3 linked regions of the Rattus norvegicus genome follow. The protein of the gene in region 2 interacts with the protein of the main gene of each other region in a pairwise test. Links are inferred from orthologs where the notes say so. Each region holds a gene or a part of one and is shown on either strand. Other genes may lie near its edges.

Evidence for each region.
Region 1: the proteins of Appl1 (region 2) and Fshr interact in a two-hybrid assay, tested with the Homo sapiens proteins (2 studies listed by BioGRID). The link is inferred for Rattus norvegicus from reciprocal best matches to the Homo sapiens genes APPL1 and FSHR.
Region 3: the proteins of Appl1 (region 2) and Adipor1 interact in binary tests that used the Homo sapiens proteins (3 or more experiments, as listed by UniProt). The link is inferred for Rattus norvegicus from reciprocal best matches to the Homo sapiens genes APPL1 and ADIPOR1.

Annotation. Positions count from the first base shown.
Region 1 is NC_086024.1:10,950,952-10,955,223, forward strand, and holds the start of Fshr (follicle-stimulating hormone receptor precursor), read left to right. Parts: upstream 1-1,377; 5' UTR 1,378-1,447; coding exon 1,448-1,599; intron 1,600-4,272. UniProt on the Homo sapiens protein: G protein-coupled receptor for follitropin, the follicle-stimulating hormone. Through cAMP production activates the downstream PI3K-AKT and ERK1/ERK2 signaling pathways.
Region 2 is NC_086034.1:2,152,759-2,156,411, reverse strand, and holds part of Appl1 (DCC-interacting protein 13-alpha), read left to right. Parts: intron 1-2,703; coding exon 2,704-2,850; intron 2,851-3,653. UniProt on the Homo sapiens protein: Multifunctional adapter protein that binds to various membrane receptors, nuclear factors and signaling proteins to regulate many processes, such as cell proliferation, immune response, endosomal trafficking and cell metabolism.
Region 3 is NC_086031.1:48,428,897-48,431,871, reverse strand, and holds the end of Adipor1 (adiponectin receptor protein 1), read right to left. Parts: intron 1,882-2,975; coding exon 1,688-1,881; intron 1,433-1,687; coding exon 1,304-1,432; 3' UTR 621-1,303; downstream 1-620. UniProt on the Homo sapiens protein: Receptor for ADIPOQ, an essential hormone secreted by adipocytes that regulates glucose and lipid metabolism. Required for normal glucose and fat homeostasis and for maintaining a normal body weight.

The sequences.
Region 1 (4,272 bases), on a different chromosome or scaffold from region 2:
GTTGGATATGTGAGGTGTAGCAAATAGAGTTTCTTGTCATTGAAGTTATTCAGACATACTTTAAGATAAAACTGACTTAATTGACTAAACTGAGTTCTACACCTGAAACATACTAATTAGTTGGATGAGTTATTGAGCGAATTCCTTTAACTGTTCTTTTCAGCCAAATTACTAATAGTATAGGGTTCATACTTAATAGGGACACACCTTTCTATCCCAAAATTAGAGTCAATCAATTGGAAGCCAGATCACATCCACCATCCTCAAATGAATGGCTTGCCTTTGTTTTCCTTGAAATGATTTAATTTACTCATTAAAAGTCATTTTTCCTTGGATAGGAAAGGGAAAGTAAAAAGGACAGTGTGTGTGTGTGTGTGTGTGTGTGTGTGTGTGTGTGTGTATCTATTTTCATTATTTTCAGGAGATGATGTTTGCTGTGTGCAAAGATAGTATTGAAGGCGGTCTGGGCAGGTAATAAGTTGTAGACATGATCTTAGACATGTGCAAGCTTTTAGTCTTCATAGACTCTGGGTTGAAGGTAGAAAGCCCCTTCACTTTTGTTAAATATTCCTCAACCTTTATTACTAAGCTTAAAAATGCCACTGCAAATACCTAGAGTGTCACTCACAGGAAACCTCTAAAATTAAAAGTAAAGACATGATAAATTTATTCATGCCAACTCATAAAATAGGAAGGAAAGGCAGTTCTCAGAGTCTGGAAAGGAAAGACAGATGCCAGAAAGACTATGCATTGCTAGTGGATAAAGAAGCAGCCCGTGCTTGAGGTCACACAAGTGACTTGTCCCCACAGAGAACCCTATCACAGGTGCCTCCCACCGACAGAGACCTAGTGCTAACCCACCTTCCCCAAGTCTGTTTAACACTAGCTTATGTTGTTAAATCACAGGATGACTATAGCCTAGATGTATGGTTTATATCAGATGGGACACAGGAAAACAGCAACACCAAATACTAAAGGTAAATTTTGTTCCCTTCACATCAGTACGTTAGAGATGTGTCATGTGGATGTGCTTGGGGAGAGGGTCAATTATGTCACTGAGGAGAAGACAGTAGTGACCAGTAGGGACCCCTGTGCAGCAAAATAATGTGAATCTGCTGCTATAGACTGATATCTTCAAATATGCACCAAGTTTCTCTTTTCTGTCATTTTGGGGGTCAAGGAATAAAAAATATAGGTCTTGAAGGATAAAGCAGAAGATTATTGACACACATTAGTCACATATTAATATATATAATCACTATTGACACATATTAATTTTACTTGCCTGGAAGCGACTAAAAAAAAAGGCATCTCTTGGTGGGTCACGTGACTTTGCCCGTTCTCCAAGCAGATCTCTCTTATCCGGACAGTGTGTGGAGGAGCCTGGGGAATCTGTGGAAGTTTTCGCGCTGATGCAGAAAGAAAGTCGGTGAATGGATAAATAAGGATGGCCTTGCTCCTGGTCTCCTTGCTGGCATTCTTGGGCACGGGATCTGGATGTCATCACTGGCTGTGTCATTGCTCTAATAGGGTCTTTCTCTGCCAAGACAGCAAGGTGACAGAGATTCCGACCGACCTCCCCCGGAACGCCATTGAACTGTGAGTATCACCGCGGGGACAGCTGTGTGGTTCCCATTTGAGCATTGAGTACTATTATTATTTTCCTATTAGACTGATATCTGCTGGGCTGAAATATTTCTGGCCTGACCAAAGGCTACAGTAGAACACACTCCCCCAGACAGACACTTCTGTCCTGTGGCTTTCCAAGGCGAGTTGGCGAGAGTTTATATTGGCATTTGTCAGGGAAGGCCAGTGTGGAAACTTGAATCTTAGGGAAAGGGGGAGGGGTAGTTTGGAGGACATATTTATGCTAGGGGTAAATTCACACTCCCTACAGAAGCAGGAAAAATAAAAGGGAAAACAAGCAGAGTAGAATACTTAGGAGACCTACACCTGGAAGCCTGAAATGCTGGCCTCAGCCAGCTGCACACACTGGATCTCAAGGAGAGCACCTGTGGCTTTGCAAACAGCACAGATAGTTCTGGGTTCTGAGGTTCTTCTTAATTGGGGAAAGGGAGTCAGAGGTGAGGGGAGAGAGTGTGATGCAGGAAGAATGACTAAGAGGGAGAAAGAACACAGAGGGGAAAGTGATGCCAACTTTAGGTTTTGCTTAACTATTTAAACAGGAAGTATACATTCTCCTAGAATTGGACAAGAATGGGACATACCTCGTCCTATCTCTTCTCTTTGCAATTTGGAATCTAGTGGCCACAAACCAAAGAATTTTTCAAACTCTCACAACGTGTTGAAAGGGATCCAGAGCATAGGACACAGAGTTCTGCCCTCTCAAAAAGTTCTCTCCTGCCACACCAGACATGGGCTCTTTGATTGTTCCGGTAACACTTCCTTAGGAAGTGCAGGTGGGAATCAGATGGCCAACAACCTCCAGTTTTTCACTCTTAGCTGTGATTGGGAATCTCAGATTGTCCTTTTAGGAGAATGTGTGGAATTTAGCACTCTCCATTGACCTCTCAACTCAACAGCTACTGTACAGAGGCAGTTGCAGAGAAGGGAAAACACTGACCAGCTCTGTATTTTGGCTACACTGCCCAGATGAGACCGTTCTTCCAGACAATGCTGAAGAGTGTGCTGTGTACACACCCAGTCTAGTGTATGAGGTCTCCAAACACAGGGAAGGCCAATGTGCCCGGAACTCCTGCAAGTTATCTGCACCTGAGTCCTTTAAGGAATACCCTCCCTGCGCCTCTGCTTTCTACCTTGAACGTGGTTTTAATGCTTGTCTGGGTGGCTGTGCCATAGATACAGATCCCTTCCTCTCTTCACTGATTCACCTCTCTCTGGGTCTCTTCTATTGCCTCCCATGTGACTCTGTGTTTCCAACAGTGATGCCCACGTTATGAAGTAAATATTTCCTATACATTTAATTATTTAGTAGCATTCCACTACACTCCCAGATGTGCCCCACCCCCATGCCTGGCTGTCTAGTGACAGTAATTTCTTCTTAAGAAGATGGATTTTTCCATTCTGCCTAGAAAAAGTTGGGTAACAAGAAAAGGGAGGAAAAGAGTAGGGAATAAAAAAAGGAAGGAATAAAGGAGAGGAGAGATGTGTGCATGATACTTAGTGAGCCCCAAGATGGTTTCTTTTTTTCTTACACTAACATATGAATGACTAAAATACGTCCCTGCTCAAGAGCACTTCATAGCCAAGGAAAAAGCATGACCATGACCTGTTGTGATTTTATAGAAATTGGGAGAATCTTAAACAGAATAGCAGAAAAAAGTCCATGCTCTTGACTCTTTGTAGCTCTAATTATTTATATACAATATAGGAAAATGCATAGAAACGAAAAGACAAATACATGCTGACTTGGCATTAACTGCTACCAGCCTTCCCAACTAGGGATGAGTTTGGAAACTCTGGGGATTATGTGAAGAAAATGTCTTCCTCCCCATAGAGCTTAAATCAGACTCTGCTAAGTGTAACCCAACAGTCTTCTTGACAAGTGTGCTGTGAAGGAAAAGATAGAGTGGGATAACTGCTTGAAGTGTGTGTGTGTGTGTGTGTGTGTGTGAGAGAGAGAGAGAGAGAGAGAGAGAGAGAGAGAGAGAGAGAGAATGACAAGAACATTCTTGGGAGAGAACATTTTTTCCATATATTAATAGGCCTAGGGTAAAGTGGAGCTTTGCCAAGGAAGTGAAATTGTGGACTCAGCCTGGTGTTCCTCACGCATCGTGCAGTGTTGGATTTGGGTAAAGACTTTAGTGATGCCCATGTCAGGTAAGGTTGGGTTGACTAGTTGACCTTCACTGACTCCAGTGGATTGATCCACCATCATGGAAAAGGGGTAGTACTCACATGGTGGAAAACAACTGTCTGTCTCTGGCCTTTCTGTCTAGTTTGTAGCAGTTTCCTTTCATATCTCTTATATGCTGTGATCACCAATGGCCACTCATACCCTCTGATATGCCCATGCTGGTGTGAGTGGCAGAAGGACCAGAAGGGCACTGATGCAAGTGGATTCCATTTTGCAAATGGCTCCTGTGGCTTGCTTTATGCTCTGTATGTACTGGTTCGCTGAAAGTCCTCAATGGAAGTGCAAGCACGGTGCTGCTGTTGCTTCTCAAAAGCATAGTAAACGGGACAACCTCAGGAAAGACCTCCATGCAGCTCCTTCATGCAGAACTAAACCAAATTTAAGTCTGTCTTTGTCTCCCCTGCATGCTGTGGGTAATTCATGTATTCTGACTA
Region 2 (3,653 bases):
TGTATTTAGTTGTATGGAAGTGTGAATATGAGTGTTTAAATAGGTATTCATGGTAACACTCTATGCTGGAAATTCATTAAAAATCTTGAATAAAACAAGTGAAAGTAAGTCACATACATATTTCAGTTAATGTCACACATGGAACTCAATGAAATTCTGGTATAAGGCTTTCTCTATTTAAAGGGAACGTTTATATCTTGATATTTTTTCAAAGAATGAAACCCAGAAGTACTACATAATATTTGAGGATGAATGCATTTAAAGATCAAAGAAGAGAATATTTACAAGTTCTGGGTGATTGAAGTCCTGAGTTACAGCTTATACCAATGCTTGCAAATGCGGTGACCTCTTCAGGACTTGGTATTTGCAGCCGTAGTCACAGCTGCTGGTAGAGACACAGTGACTACTTACGGAAGTGGACAGCTCAGTAGGATCTACTGTGTAGGAGCCGCTGTGGCAACAAAGGAAATGATTCTCACACAGTGAGTGATCACTCCTCTAAGCTGCTTTCCATTTCTTCTTTTTTTTTTAAAGAATTATTTATTTATTTAATGTCTATGAGTACACTGTAGCTGTCTTCAGACTCACCAGAAGAGGGCATCAGAACCCATTACAGATGGTTGTGAGCCACCATGTGGTTGCTAGGAATTGAACTCAGGACCTCTGGAAGAGCAGGCAGTGCTCTTTACCGCTGAGCCATCTCTCCAGCCCTGCTTTCCATTTCTAATTCTAGTTCCCAAGTTAACCAATAAACGTACACAATTTGAGATTTATAGTAGTCATTTTGCCTTAGAGAGGTACTTAAAGGTCTAGGTTATAAAATTTGGTATATTTATATTGCTTTTGGCTATTCCAAGTATTTTAAAAAGAATTAATGTTTTTTTGAATTAGAAAAATTACTGAGCATCTATTTATCAGGCAGTATGCTGAGTTCCTCAGGGAACAGTGTGAGTAGGGACCACTCCGGCTCTCCTATTCATTGCACGCTTAGTGTGAATGCGTTCCGGAGTACAAGGAGGAAGAGACTGCAGTGACATGACTTAGATGCACTAATAAAGATTTTTCTAGACAGTACAGATCGAGCCTGAGGAGGTTGCATGTGCAATGTAGTTAAGTAGACAACACTTTGGGGATTGAAAAGGACTTTTTGTTAAAAAAGCCCCAAACTGAACAGCAAAAATCCCCCAAACCAAAACGGTCTCTCTGTAGAGGCATGCTCTGGAGTTTGAACACTGTGAAGGTTTAGAGTACTGGCTATGGAGTGAGATTTGGGGGACGTATCTGAGGCCTGCTCTTCCTTTATTTGAAGCCATGCACTAGTTACTTGGTTCCATGCCTTTCTTCTCTGTGCAGAAGAGGGACCCACAGAGCAGCAGTCGTGATGGTGAAATTAGGCAGTGAATGCAGAGCAGCAGTTTTCACTGAGTTCTATCATTACTTGACAACAGGAGGTGATCACCTCTCAGTTCTCAGGATGGGTTTGGGGAGAGGTTGACAAAGTCGTTGGGGGCTGGGTGGTATGGCTCTCACCTGTGATCCTAGCTCTTGGGAGGCAAGGGATCCCTGAAACTTTGAGGCCACCCTGGAGTTCAAGGTTAACTTGGGTACAGAATGAGACACTATCTTAAAACAGACCAACAATCCCATTTGTCAAAACCTAACAAGGAATAGTTTGGAGCCAGATTGCTGCATTTACCACCTTGAAATTTTGTTAAAGGAAGTGAATAGTCAGGGAAGGATTCTAGGTAGGTAAATAGTGCCATGCAGTTAGTTATGTTGTATAACCAAAGCAATAATAACAGCATGAAAGGGAGAGTGCTAGAGTGATACCAGTGGGATATGAGACTTCCTTGCACAGTCACAAAGAAGATTGTTATAAAAGAATGCTTTGGAGACTTGTTCTTTATCTCTCACTAGGACCTTGTTAATGGTAGGCAAGCACTGAGACTCACTTCCTAGCCCTGCTTTGGAAGAGAGAAGTCCTATAGTAGGAGGTGAGATCCACATTGACATTTCCTAGAGAGAGGAAAGAACAATAAGGAAGGACAGCTGCTGTAAGGAAGAAGCTATTTTCAGTCTATGCATTCTCAGTGTACATAAACACTCATTCTTATATACAAAAGAACCCAGCCTTCCTTTCTCTGGCACTTGGGACAGGGACTGCCAGAGAGGAGGTACAGATTCACACCACCAGGCCAGTGTGCACTGATAATGTCGAAACTTGATAGGTATTCCAAGTAGAGAAGGAAAAGAGCCTACCTAATACATAGTAGGCTCTATAAATGCTCAAAGAAAAGTCGTTTGGGTGAAATAACTTGGGAGCATATGTATTTTAAGTGTGAGTCAAGAAAAATAAGCAGGTAGAGAAAAAGAGTGGTAAGGAGAAAACCAGGAGGGGAGAATTTGTGCTGTGAGCTGATTCAGATCAGACATCGCTGGCTAAATAGTAACCCATATGGTGACTCTGTCCTGTTAGTGCAGATGCCTACATTTATAGTTGCATGCAGATATGTGTTTTGTAAGTGATATGGTTGGTATACAGAAAAATGACTTGACCTGGTATGTTAATGGGTTTCCAATCGAGTAGAAAACAGGAAGGCTATGTTCAGTAATTATTGATTCTCCATTTTCCTTGAAAGACTCTTCTCCACTCTACTGGAGATAATTCAAAATTAAATAATATTTTATTCTTTTCATTCAAAGGTAAAGTATGAAGTAACAGAGGATGTGTATACTTCCAGGAAAAAGCAACACCAGACCATGATGCATTATTTTTGTGCACTAAATACTCTTCAGTACAAGAAGAAAATAGCTTTGTTAGAACCTCTGCTTGGATACATGCAGGCTCAGGTAAATATGTTTTGGATTATATCTGTCCTAAAAGCCTTGTATTAAGTTTGATTTTTGTATTAACTATAGGGCTATAATAAACTGTTGTCAACAGTTTTGTATTGTGGTTTTACTTTATTTTTTTTAAAGATTTATTTACTTATTTTATGTGAGTACACTGTCACTGTCTTTAGACACACCAGAAGAGAGAATTGGATCCATTACAGATGGTTATGAGCCACCATGTGGTTGCTGGGAATTGAACTCAGGACCTCTGGAAGAGCAGTCGGTGCTCTTAACCACTGCGCCATCCCTCCAGCCCCTGTATTGTGGTTTTAAAAAGTAATTTTAAAGACTGTCATGAGTGTCTTATTTTAAGAAGATTGGGCGAATGTTTTTTCTTGCAAATGAAGATATAAAATGTTTTAAATAAATGGAAGTACATTGTAGTAAGACTTTTCCCACCTCAGTTGGAGACAGAGAGCAGAAAGCTAGAGGAATTAATAACTGGAGCTTTTTTTCATTAGAAACCTGAGAAAGAATGAACAAGTTTGAATCGGACATGGTGGTGGACAGCTTTAATCCCAGCACTTGGGAGGCAGAGGATCTCTTGAATTCAAGGCCAGCCTGGTCTACAAAGAGAGTTAGTTCTAGAATAGCCAGGGCTACACAGAGAAACCATTTGGAAAAACAAACAAACAAACAAACAAACAAACAAACGGATAAAGAATGAGTAGGTTTGCATCTGTCCCATGTTCCTCACATACTTCCTGAGTCAGAAATAGTAGTTGAAGGGATGGAGAGATGTGTAAGAGCACCGATTG
Region 3 (2,975 bases), on a different chromosome or scaffold from region 2:
CCTTCCCTAGTTTCCCTCATCAGGCACTGCAGTGACTGACTCTAGCACCAGCAAGACAGTGCTGAGCTCTAGGGTACACCTCAGCACTGGAGACTATTAGTAACACCACCACTGCCAGGCAGTAGCTGTGCACGCCTCTGAGCTCAGCTCTTGGGAGGCAGACGCAGGAGGATCTCTGTGAGTTTGAGGCCAGCCTGGTCTACCAAGTGAGTTCTATGACAGCCAACCCTACACAGAGAAAAACCAGAAGTGCCTCGGTAGCACAATGATTTTCTTTCCTGAGACAGTCTCGTGTACATAACTACCTCCTTGGCCTTAGTATTATAGACATGACTTACCGTGCCTGACTTATCTGACAATGGCGATGAAATCCAGGGCTTTGTGGGTGCCAGCACACATCCTACCATCTGAAGGACACACCCAGTCTGCATAGTAATCCCCCTCATCAGGAGTCAGTGCCGTACTGAGTTGTATTAGAGATCAGAGGCTAGGAACTGAGTTATGCCCACTTGCTGACCACACACGTCTCACTGTAAGTCTCACTGTAACTGTCCATATGATTCCCATTTGTGTCTCAGTAGGAGTTGTGTGCAAACAGTTGAAACAACACACGTTAACTCTTTGAATGCCAAGCGGTCTGTACTTTCTTTTATTATCACCATAGTCTTTGCATCAAGATACACAGCAGTGATAGCAGGTTTCTTTTTAAAGCTTAGTATTAAATATTAAATATCTTCCCCATTTTAATTTTACATTACTCTGCCAAGAAAAAAAAAAAAAAGGATTTAAACTCAAGTTACTTGAAGCCTGGACATACTTCCATGATTAGCCGGGCTACATCAAGGCGTGGCTTTGTTTGTCCTAGAAAGATGGGACCAGGTTATACTTGTTTCTGAAAAGTGTGCTACAAAAATGGATGGCCTGTCATCCGCCAGGTTACAAAGTAAGGAGGAGGGTAAGGGAGGGATATTTTCTTCAAGAAAAAACAACACTTAATTTCTGAAGAATCCCAGTTCATAATTTTTTCCCCAAAATGGCTGAAGGAATGGGTAAAATCTCAACATGAGCTCCCACGTCCTGTCTGTGAAGGACCAGCAGTTGCCTTGCTGAGGTGACTGCTAGGAATGCACATGGGAAGTGTACGGCCCGGAGGCTGTGCCAGTGGGCTGAAGGGTCACTGGTGCGATTCTCTAAGAGGTTTCTTCTAGAAACAGACAACTCAGACTCTTCCTCGTACTTCAGCAAAGAAGTTATTTTTAAAAGCACTTGGGAAGTTCCTCCACCAACCCTCAGGTGGGAAGGCTCAGAGAAGGGAGTCATCGGTACATCCACCCTCTAGGCCGTAACGGAATTCCTGTAGGTTGGACACCCCATAGAAGTGGACGAAAGCCGCTGCCACCACCAGGACATGGAAAATCTGATGAGACTGGAACTGTGGGAACAAACAGAGACCCACCTTTAGGACGGGGAAGTCGGTGGGAACATTTGGCCTCTTCTGCTTTCTCCTTAAAAACTTCTTTACATCAGATAAGTGATACTTGTTCTAGAACATTATAAGAAACTCTGAGACCTGTGTTGATCTTGCCCATCCTCAGTACTTCATGACCCGAATCTTACCACCTTCTACTCAGAGCTCTGACTGGGCCAGTCACTCACCACACAGGCCCTGCTAAGAGTCATGTCTTACCCATATGTCAAATTTTCCAGGAAAGAAGCGCTCAGGAATCCGAGCAGCATAAAGGCCAGCGCCGGTGATGTACATCACAGCCATGAGGAAGAACCAGCCCATCTGGCCCACTGTGGTGGCCTTGACAAAGCCCTCAGCGATAGTAAAGTGCATGGTGGGTACAACACCACTCAAGCCAAGTCCCAGGAACACTCCTGAACAGAACAGACACGACTGTCAGCAGGAAGTAGCTACGTGAAGGCGCTGCCGTGAATCTGGAGTTGATGTATTTATGAAAAGCAACTGTTCTCTCAGGAATTACATGCTTAAAAATGAAGGACCTCTTTTGACCTCTGTGGACACCTGCACACACATGGCAGACACAAATCACACATATACAAATAAAATAAATAAAACCAGGAGCTAGCATAATGGTGTACTCCTTTAATCCCAGAACTCAGGAGGCAGAGGAAGGTGGATCTCATTTAGTTCCAGGCCAGCCTGGTCTACATACCGAGTTCTAGGTCAGCCAGGAGTTAAGACTCTTTCTAAAAACATACAAAATTTGAAAGACCACAGACACAGACAACATACACACCAAAAACAAACAAACAAACAAACAAACAAACAAACATTTAGAAAAGGTTTGTTAAAAGTCATCTGATGGTCAACTTGGTCAAGACCAAGTGTAGCTCCAAAGCCAGAAGAGTAGGTTTCCCATTAAGATCATAGAAAGGGATGAAGAGGTTGGAGAGATGGCTCAGGAGTTAAGAGCACTGACTGCTCTTCTAGAGGCCCTGAGTTCAAATCCCAGCAACCACATGGTGGCTCACAGCATCTGTAATGGTATCTGATGCCCTCTTCTAGTGTGTCTGAAGACAGCTACAGTGTACTTATATAATAAATAACTCTTTCAAAACAATTAAACAAACACCCATTTAGTGTAGCGGTGTTTGCTACCACTAATAACTTCCCAGCACCCAGGTTGGGCAACTCACACTCTCTGTGGCCTCCGTGGGCACATGCACATGCATGCTAAGACCACTCAACCCCTTAAGTCCAGCTCCAGAAGATCTCGGCCTTTATGGGCACATGCACAGATACATACACAGTAAGACGCATAAATAATACATCCTTTTTAAAAAAAAAAATCATTAAAAAACCTGCACAGAGTCAAGCCAGTCAAAATCCCAGCATGGGCTGGGGTTCAAAGTCCCATCCCACAGGAGCTAGTGACAGTTGAGGGATACTGAGAAAGTGGGTTCTTTTTCTGAGGGGCATGGCCACTGGGAGACTGTTCGTGCTTCAG